Linked DNA regions of Callithrix jacchus. The main gene of each other region encodes a partner of the protein of the gene in region 2 in a complex. Links are inferred from orthologs where the notes say so. Each region holds a gene or a part of one and is shown on either strand. Other genes may lie near its edges. The genes, in order: RARRES2 and CMKLR1.

What was found.
Region 1: the proteins of CMKLR1 (region 2) and RARRES2 are in contact, whole or in part, in a cryo-EM structure (PDB 8ZJG), measured with the Homo sapiens proteins. The link is inferred for Callithrix jacchus from reciprocal best matches to the Homo sapiens genes CMKLR1 and RARRES2. Residues at the interface, in NP_001135815.1 of Homo sapiens: Asp20, Tyr21, Leu22, Asp23, Ser24, Ile25, Val26, Val27, Leu28, Phe88, Leu92, His95, Tyr103, His104, Asn116, Leu119, Ile120, Met123, Arg178, Leu183, His184, Gly185, Lys186, Ser188, Cys189, Phe190, Asn191, Trp203, Thr205, His217; in NP_002880.1 of Homo sapiens: Leu34, Phe37, His38, Phe60, Thr75, Ser76, Cys77, Arg96, Leu111, Gly112, Arg113, Leu114, Val115, His116, Cys117, Pro118, Ile119, Thr133, Leu136, Arg137, Gln139, Arg140, His146, Ser147, Phe148, Tyr149, Phe150, Pro151, Gly152, Gln153.

What each region holds. Positions count from the first base shown.
Region 1 is NC_133512.1:97,888,811-97,893,274, forward strand, and holds the start of RARRES2 (retinoic acid receptor responder protein 2), read left to right. Parts: upstream 1-1,638; 5' UTR 1,639-1,696; intron 1,697-1,864; exon of another isoform or gene 1,865-2,119; intron 2,120-2,841; 5' UTR 2,842-2,861; coding exon 2,862-3,035; intron 3,036-3,258; coding exon 3,259-3,363; intron 3,364-4,192; coding exon 4,193-4,288; intron 4,289-4,464. UniProt on the Homo sapiens protein: Adipocyte-secreted protein (adipokine) that regulates adipogenesis, metabolism and inflammation through activation of the chemokine-like receptor 1 (CMKLR1). Also acts as a ligand for CMKLR2.
Region 2 is NC_133510.1:111,172,168-111,175,970, forward strand, and holds part of CMKLR1 (chemerin-like receptor 1), read right to left. Parts: intron 3,543-3,803; 5' UTR 3,540-3,542; coding exon 2,424-3,539; 3' UTR 1-2,423. UniProt on the Homo sapiens protein: Receptor for the chemoattractant adipokine chemerin/RARRES2 and for the omega-3 fatty acid derived molecule resolvin E1.

The DNA.
Region 1 (4,464 bases), on a different chromosome or scaffold from region 2:
AAGCTTTGCTGAAAAATCAACTGATGAAAGGCAGATTAATAAATTATTTATATTTTAGAGACAGGGTCTTGTTCTGTCCAGACAGGCTGAAGTACAGTTTCCCAATCATAGCTGACTGCACCCTTGAACTCCTGGGCTCAAGGGATCCTCCTGCCTCAGCTTTAATAGGAAATATTCATTGACATGCATGAGAAAGAACCACAGAGTGATTACCCCAACCCCTCAATGGGATACAGAAGCTTATTCGCCATCTTGAGTTTATACAAAGATGGGGACTTAAATAGTGGCAAGACAGGTTATGGATGGGAGGGAAGACAAAGCCTGGTTAGCAAAGGCAGTCTTGTTATGTAACGACACCTCATAGGTAGCAGTCCTTGGAAAGAAGGGACAGTAAATGTTTCTTTCAGACCTGAAAAGGTGTCAGACTCTCAGTTCATCTTTCCTAGAACCAGACAAGGAAGGGCCTCAGAGAAAGCGTAGCTACATCAATGCAGATTTCCTCTATAGATGCCGATCTCTCCACAAATCAGCTTTTGGTTATTCTATTTCCAGCCATTCTGAACAGCCACCTTGAAATGTGTCAAATAAGTATATTTTGGGGTGAAATACTTTGGTTTTCTTCAAGTTCTTGGGCTGGGAAACGTCTTTCGGTGCATCTCTTCTCTCTAACCCCATCTAAAGCTTTCAGTGAACATGGATCCCCTCTCTTATCTCTGCTTAAGGACAGCCGAGGAGCTCATAGCTGGGGAGTGAAATGTCAGTGGTGGTATTTCAGGCACCCGGAAGTGGCTAATGGAAGCCGAGTTTCCTTCTGGTGCGCCCAGAGCATGCTGTAAAGGAAGCTCTCAGCTCTAAGTGGAGAATCCTGGCCGGGAGTGCGTAAGGAGGGGACAAAAGCCTGTGCCCCACACTGGGCACCAGTTGCTTTTCATGTTTTCTCATTTAATCCTCAAAACAACTCCTCAAGACAGAGTTTCTGATGCCCATCTTACAGATAAAGAATCAGAAGCTCAGAGAGAGCCTTGAAGTTACATGAGCTCCTCTACTGGAGGCCATCAGTGCAGTGTGGGAACTAGAGGCATGGTGGTGGTGGTTACTGACGTGCAAAGTCCCAGAGCTTCCTCGTCCTTGCTCCAGCGTACCAGGGAATCAAGCCGGTATTAGGACAGTTTTCCCTGAGTTTCCGTTTACCTTATGAATTCCATCATGCCGCTCTGCCACACGCAAAAGCTCCCCGACTCCCCATGAGAGTCTATCCCACGGAAAATGGGACACAGGAAAGGTCAGGAAAGACAGATGCGGGATCCACACTGGACATCTTTGCTGTCGATCAAGGCTGCAGGCAACAGAGTCTTCCCTAAAGGAGAGACCTTCCCTCTCAGTGTGGCTCAAGGAGTGGGAGGTGGGAACAGGGGGAGGGACCTCTTCGAGGTCTCCTTTAGTTTGAGGATGTCTGTATTTCGGGAAAGAATTCCCAGGATGAGTGTCTCAGGGACGCTACGGAATGGTCCCCCATAAAGGACCCAAGATAGGGCAGCCCTGCCTGGGCAGGAGTGGGGTGCAGAAAGCCCTTGAGGGAGCACGGCCGCAGAGAAGAGGCCCAGGCCGGCCAAGACCGCGGAATGCGGGACCCGAGCCAGGGGGAGGTGGGACCGAGGACTGCGCGCCCTGCCGAGCCGCCTGCAGCCTCGGCCAGGTTCAGGGTCATGAGGGGAGGGAGGCGGGTGGGATGGGGAAGGAGGGCGCGGGAGGGCGCGGGAGGGCTTCCCGCCCCGAGGAGGCCAGTCCACGTCGGGTGGGGAGGAGCCGGAGTTGCTGGAGGGGGCCCAGGAGGTGGGGGTGGGAGGAGGTGGGGACCGCCCGCGAGAAGAGCGGGAAGAGGCGGACAGCGAGGCCAAAATTTCAGCTGCGGGACGGCCAGGGGAGACCTCCAGACACAAGGAAGGACGTGAGAAGGGGAAGTGGGCTGGGGCGGCCGCCGGGCAGAGGGGCAGCTGCGCGGGTGGAATGAGGAACGCCTTTGCACTAAGGCAACGACCCTGGCAGCTCTTCACTGAGGGACCTCGGTTTCCACATCTGTGGCCTTCGGGTCCCAGGACGGACGGGGCTCTCCAGGATGGTCAGCCCCTCCGGGTGGCCTCAGTCATGCATCAGGGAACGGATCAGAAAGGCTGGGAGAGGGGTCGTAGGGAAGGCCCAGAAAAAAGAGAAAGGAGGGAAGATTTTGCCTGAAGCGGGAAAGCTAAGGGCCGGGGGGATGGGGGGTGGGGGTGGTCTAACCACCCCCACCCCCATTCCTAAGGACTGGGGTAGGCTGGTGGCCACGGCAGCCCTGGCGCCGGAGGGTTAGGACTCCAGCGGCCTCCACCCAGCCGGGCCCTCCCACGTGTTTGGGTCCAGGCTCTTGCCCTTTCCCCACCGCTGTCTAGGCCGGGAGAATGGGGCACCCCATGGGAGCAGGGGGATTCTAGAGGGGGGAGAAGCTGAGCCGGGAAAGCAGAAAGGGGGTCCGGGGACTGCAGGGAGGAGAGGGGGTCGTGCCGGAGACCCAGGGAGAGACAGTGAGCCAGATGAGGAGTGGAGGGTGGGAGTGGGCAGAGGATTGATTCCAGGCGTGGCAGGGAACTTTGCTAAAACTGCAGGCCCCAGGGAACAGCGCAGGCAGGGTGGGAGGGAATAGAGAGGACCAGGCAGACCCCAAGGCCAATTTGGACAAAGAGCCATTTCCCAGCTCCTTCGCCTCCGCCCAGGGTTCTGCTGGCCTGGCTCTCCGGGGCAGGGCGTGGGAGGAGGCGGCTTGGGCTGGCTCCGAGAACTGAGGGGCGCACACCCGCTCCGCAGGACCGGGGTGACACGGAAGCATGCGACGACTGCTGATCCCGCTGGCCCTGTGGCTGGGTGCGGTGGGCGCGAGCAGCACCGGGCTCACAGAAGCCCAGCAGCGGGGCCTGCAGGTGGCCCTGGAGGAATTCCATAAGCACCCGCCCGTGCAGTGGACCTTCCAGAAGATCTGCGTGTACAGCGCCGAGGACACGGTGAGTAGCATGGCCCCTGCAGAAGGGGAGGGTCGCACCAGGGAGACAGGCCCATTCCCAGAAGCAGGACAGAAATGCATGGGCTCTGAGCGCGGGGCCCTCTGGAGAAAGGCCCCAGGATAGTCTGCTGAGATGTGACTGTGTGAGGGAGGCACGGGTCACACCAGGGCTTGCTCTGGACACTCAGCTGGCCACTAGCCATCCTCTGCCTGCCTGTCCACAGCCCTTCCCAGCTGGAATATTTGTGAGGCTGGAATTTAAGCTCCAGCAGACAGACTGCCGGAAGGAGGACTGGAAGAAACCCCACTGCAAAGTCAAGCCCAATGGGGTGAGTGAAGGGGTATGAGTGATGAGCCTCCTAAGAGGTGGAATGGCTCAGCCTGAGCCCCAGGCTGTGAGGGTGGTCGAGCTGGGGCCTGGCAGGCAGGGAAAGGGTTTGGTTACCCCTGGACTTACCTTCATCATAGCAGGGCTCACCTGAGTTCCTCTCTCAAGCTTCAGGGCCTGGGTGGAAGGAGCCCGCTGTGTAAGGGTGTGTCTGGTGCCCTTGTAGACTAGCCAGGCTCCAGTCATCAGCCACGGTGGGGGCAAACCCACCACCATGGGGGCGATGCCTGGGCAGGGACTGCAGTGACTGTGTTCTAGTTCCTGCCCTGTGAGCACCACCTGGGCTCTGTATTACAGGTTCTGTAAAGGCCCCAGTTCTCTGTCGGCTAAAGGAGGGTGCTGGATTATAGCAATGATTCACCAACCTCAAATCAAATCTTACAAGAAAATGTAAATAGAATAGGTGACAGTTGAGCTGCTCTGGAGGAGTTGGGTGGGAAGAGCCCATCGGAGGAGGATTCTTGCCTTTGCAGAGCACAGGCACACCCATCCCCCACACTCCTGCACACAAACCACAGACAACCTATCTGGGAAGGACTCCTGCCTGCACACACACGAAATTTCCATAGTTTGAAAGCTGCATGGTCCCGGCTTCCAACATTCTGGGGTGGGCTGTGCCTGAAACCCGCTGGCCTGCATGACTCCTTACCCCTGGGCTCGAGGGCCTAGCTGGGAGCTGGTCCCATAATAGGCAGCCTTGGCTCCCACCCTCATGATGCCCAGGCCTCCCTCACCCCTTTCCTCTGCTCATTCTTTGCTCCCCTCCCCAGAGGAAGCGGAAATGCCTGGCCTGCATCAAACTGGGCTCTGAGAATGAGGTTCTGGGCCGGATGATCCACTGCCCCACAAAGACACAGGTTCTGCGGGTAAGAAGGGGCAAAGCTGCAGAGAGGCTGGGACGGGTCTGGGAAGACAGATGGAATCTTGACCTATGCGCCAGTCACGAGACCGAAGCTTGGCTGGATGGGGAGAGGGGGAAGTGGGGGCTAGAAGGTGCTGTGCCTGGTCCGGACAGTCTCCAGGGGATATAGAGGTGGTCCCT
Region 2 (3,803 bases):
CAGAGCATCCAGAAAGAGGGAGGCCAGACTCTAAGGAGGAAAACAGTGGGTTTGAATTGTGCTCCTGTTGATCATCTTTTCTGATGACAACATGAATTCCTGGCTCCCCCAGCCTGGCCTGGACTCCCAGAAGCCCAGGAAAAGCAGCATCCTAGGAGCCAAGAGGCCCAAGTTGCTGATGACTGCTGCTGTGACCTGGGACAGATCCCACACCATCTCGTGCCTCAGTAAACATGGGAAGAGCGATGATGGGGGCCACTGAGCAATATTTAAAGCTCCCTTTTTGCTCTCAAACTGTCTATATTCAAACTCTTTAAAACATTCAGAGGCTCCAGCTTGGGGTCAATTCAGAGCTGCCTTGTCATAAGCATTAAGGCACAACAAGGGAAGGAACAGTTTGTCTTTTAATGAAGTGTGATTCCAAACAGCCCGTGGCCTCGGGAACTCACCCAGCACAGGGTAGACATTGCATCTGTTCGTTGCATCTTGGTGGAGAATCAGCTTAAGGATGAAAGGACTTGGAAGAGAACAGAACGTGGACACTTAGGAGCCAAAGGGACTCGGGCCCACAAGGGACTGCCTCCTGCCAGCCCTCCCTCCCCATTGCCTTCATCTCAGGAGACGCAGGAGGTGGAGCCACGGTAGGGGGCTGTTAATGGCTGCTGAGCAAGCTGGAAGCCAAGTGCATTTTCTCTGCCATGTTGCATCATTTTTGAAAATTATTTACAAAGCTTCTTAAAGGCCATTAAGATGTTCACATTCTTTTGCAGAAGAATCAATATTTATGGTAAAAATCTCCAACCTCTTTAGGTCCTTCCTGACTCTGCAGCCTCATTTGAGCCAGGTAGACTGAGGTTCAAATCCAAGTTCTGGCAGAGACTAGCTGGGTATCTTTGGGCAACTTACTTAACTTCTCTGAGCCTCAGATTCCTCCTGTGTAAAAGGGAAGTTGTAACAGTACCTAACTCAGGGTTGATGTAATGATTAAATGAGAAAACATATGTAAAGTGCGTAATACAAAAAGTGCTAAATAAATGTAGGCTTTCAATACACTAGAATCATCTCCACAGAGAAACTCCAAATAGAGGAAAGGAGTTTCTGGAGCCAGACAGAGCCAGGTTCAGACCTTAACTCTGCCACTGATTAGCTGTGTGATGTTGGGCAACTTACTTTGCCCCTCTGGGCCTCAGCTATGTCATTTGTAAATGGGGCAATGACACTCTGTGCCACAGGGACGTGTCAATATTAGATGAAAAAAGCTATGCCAGGCATCTATATCCAGGAGGTATTTGGTGTCTGCAGCTCGGGACCACAGTTCAAGGAGTCCAGTTTCAGACTCTTTCAAGTGACTGAACCCTCGGACATACTCTTCTTCCAAGTGGACTCTCCAGAGTTGCTTCCCAAAGCTGTATTTTGGACCCATCTCCAAAGGCATTGAGAAAATTAACCAGAAGGAGAAGCCCCACCACCAGTGTTTTATTCTAAGCCCCTCCGGCCAGAGCTGAGTGGATTAGGAAAGGCCGAAAGAATCCCTGTGATGAGGTGAGGGCTGCTGGTGAAGATGCCTGCCACAACCCCACCCCCAGGTAAGAAGGGCAAGGTGAGCTCAGGGGCTGGGGCCACCCTCACCCCACAATAGCTCCAGCGTGAAGCACCATCATCCTGTGATGTTCTAGGGTGAGCTGCTTGATGCCTGCATCTTTTGAAGGTTCTTTTCTTCTTTTGCATTCCTTTGCCAAATCTCAAGTCCTTGTTGCATCCCTCACTTGTCTTCCCTTGCGAAGAGCCCACATGACCTCTCAGAACCTGTTCTCTGTCTTCCTAGCTGATCCAAAAGCCAAATTCACGGTCTATGGAGTTCATGGGCTGATATGGCACCTTCCTCTCCCGGATCACCTATGCGTTTCCACATGCTTTAATGCAGAGGAGTGACTTAAAGGTAGGGCTTTCTGGCCAGTGATAATAGGCCACTCATAATAGGTAGACAAGGGCCAGGTGTGCTCTGTGTCACACTAGGTTTGCTCTGACCTCCCACTGCTCACAGCAGGAATGGACCATGGAGAGTGTCTGTGTCATTCTGGGGCACACACAGTAGGCAGCTTAATCCCACTGCCTCATGCCAATCCCAGTTAATGGCAGTGCTTTTGAGAATTCTTCCTTGTTTACTTTGAGTCAGTCAAGTCTGGTCTCCCAGGAAGCATAAATGGGAGACCAGCCTTGGCTGTGTGGAACACAGTGCATTCTGTCCACTTGGAGAAAGGGGTCCCAGGCCCTGGATTCCCAGTGTAAAACACTGTTCATCCCCATGAAAAATGCAGTGGAAATTGGTGGATGCTAAAGAGGTTCTTGCCTTGATCTTCAGAAGACATATCCTTAAGTGCCCCTGGGTTGAGAAGGTCCACTGAGGGGCTCCCCAGTGAGGCTCATAGCATGCTAGTCTCCCTCTCATTCACTGAAGTCCTCTCATTCATTGATGACATCTTGGTAAAGCTTCTATGGCTGAGGTAGGAAGAGTGGGCTGTGTCTTCACTTAGAGCATTGTCCAGGCGGGAGAAGAGGGCCACCTTGAACTTCTTGAAGTCCTGACCCATGAAAACGTACAAAATGGGGTTTATACAGCTGTTGGCAATGGCGAAGCCAGTGGCCAGAGGAAAACCCAGGGTGAAGACAGAGGTAGGGATGGAAATGTGGTGGAGCTCCAGGAGGTTGAGTGTGTGGTAGGGGCACCAGCAGAAGAAGAAGGTAATGATGATGGTCACAATGATCTTGAAGGGCTTCTTGGTCTTGGCCATGCGGTTGCGCCGCAGTTTGCAGACAATGGTGAGGTAGCAAACTGTAATGATGAGGACTGGGACCAGAAAGCCGAAGAGGAAGCGGGTCATGGTCACCACCAGGTGCCAGTTGTACCCCACACGGTTCACCTGGGGTTGAGCAGACCACAAGGAAGACCCAGCTGCGGACATGCTGAAGTTGTTGAAGCAGGCTATTTTCCCATGATTGTCAGCCGTGTCCCGGAAGACAAGAGATGGGGAACTCAAGAAGAAAGCCAGGACCCAGATGACCATGCAGGCCACGTAAGCCAGGCGAACGCTGCGGTGGTTCTGAGACCACACAGGGAGGAGCACAGAGATGCAGCGGTCGAAGCTGATCATGGTCAGCAGGAAGACACTGGTGAACATGTTGTGGATGAGAAGGAAGTTGCTGATCTTGCACATGGCCGTCCCAAAAACCCAGTGGTAGTCCATGGCGACATAGGTGATATAGATCGGGAGGAAGATGTTGAACAGGAAATCTGCCACTGCCAGGTTAAGGAACCAGACCGTGTTCACCGTCTTCTTCATCTTGAAGGTGGCAATGATAATCACCAGACCATTGCCCAGGATCCCAAGGAAGCAGATGATGATGTAGACCACCACCATGGCGATCCTGGTCACCCTGGCTCCCAAGGGGGCTGACTCCTCCAAAAAAAAAATGGTGTCTAAATAATCAGGGTATTCATCATCATAACTGAAGGAGGTGTTATAATCTTCATACTCCATTCTCTGCAAGAGAAGACAGGGACCATTAGGGGAACCTAGAGCTGGCTTTAAGAGGTTGACCAACACCAGCAAGACCAACAATGTCCTCCCGGGCCCTGAGCAAGTCCAGTTTTTGTGATTTAACCACTTCCTTCTTTGCTGTTTTATTTATTGAACAAATGCCTTTCCAGTACTTCCTACATGCCAGGCACTGCATTCTATACTCTCTTAATCTTCACAACAACTTAGTGAGGTAGATGGGTTATGAACCTCATCTTACAAATA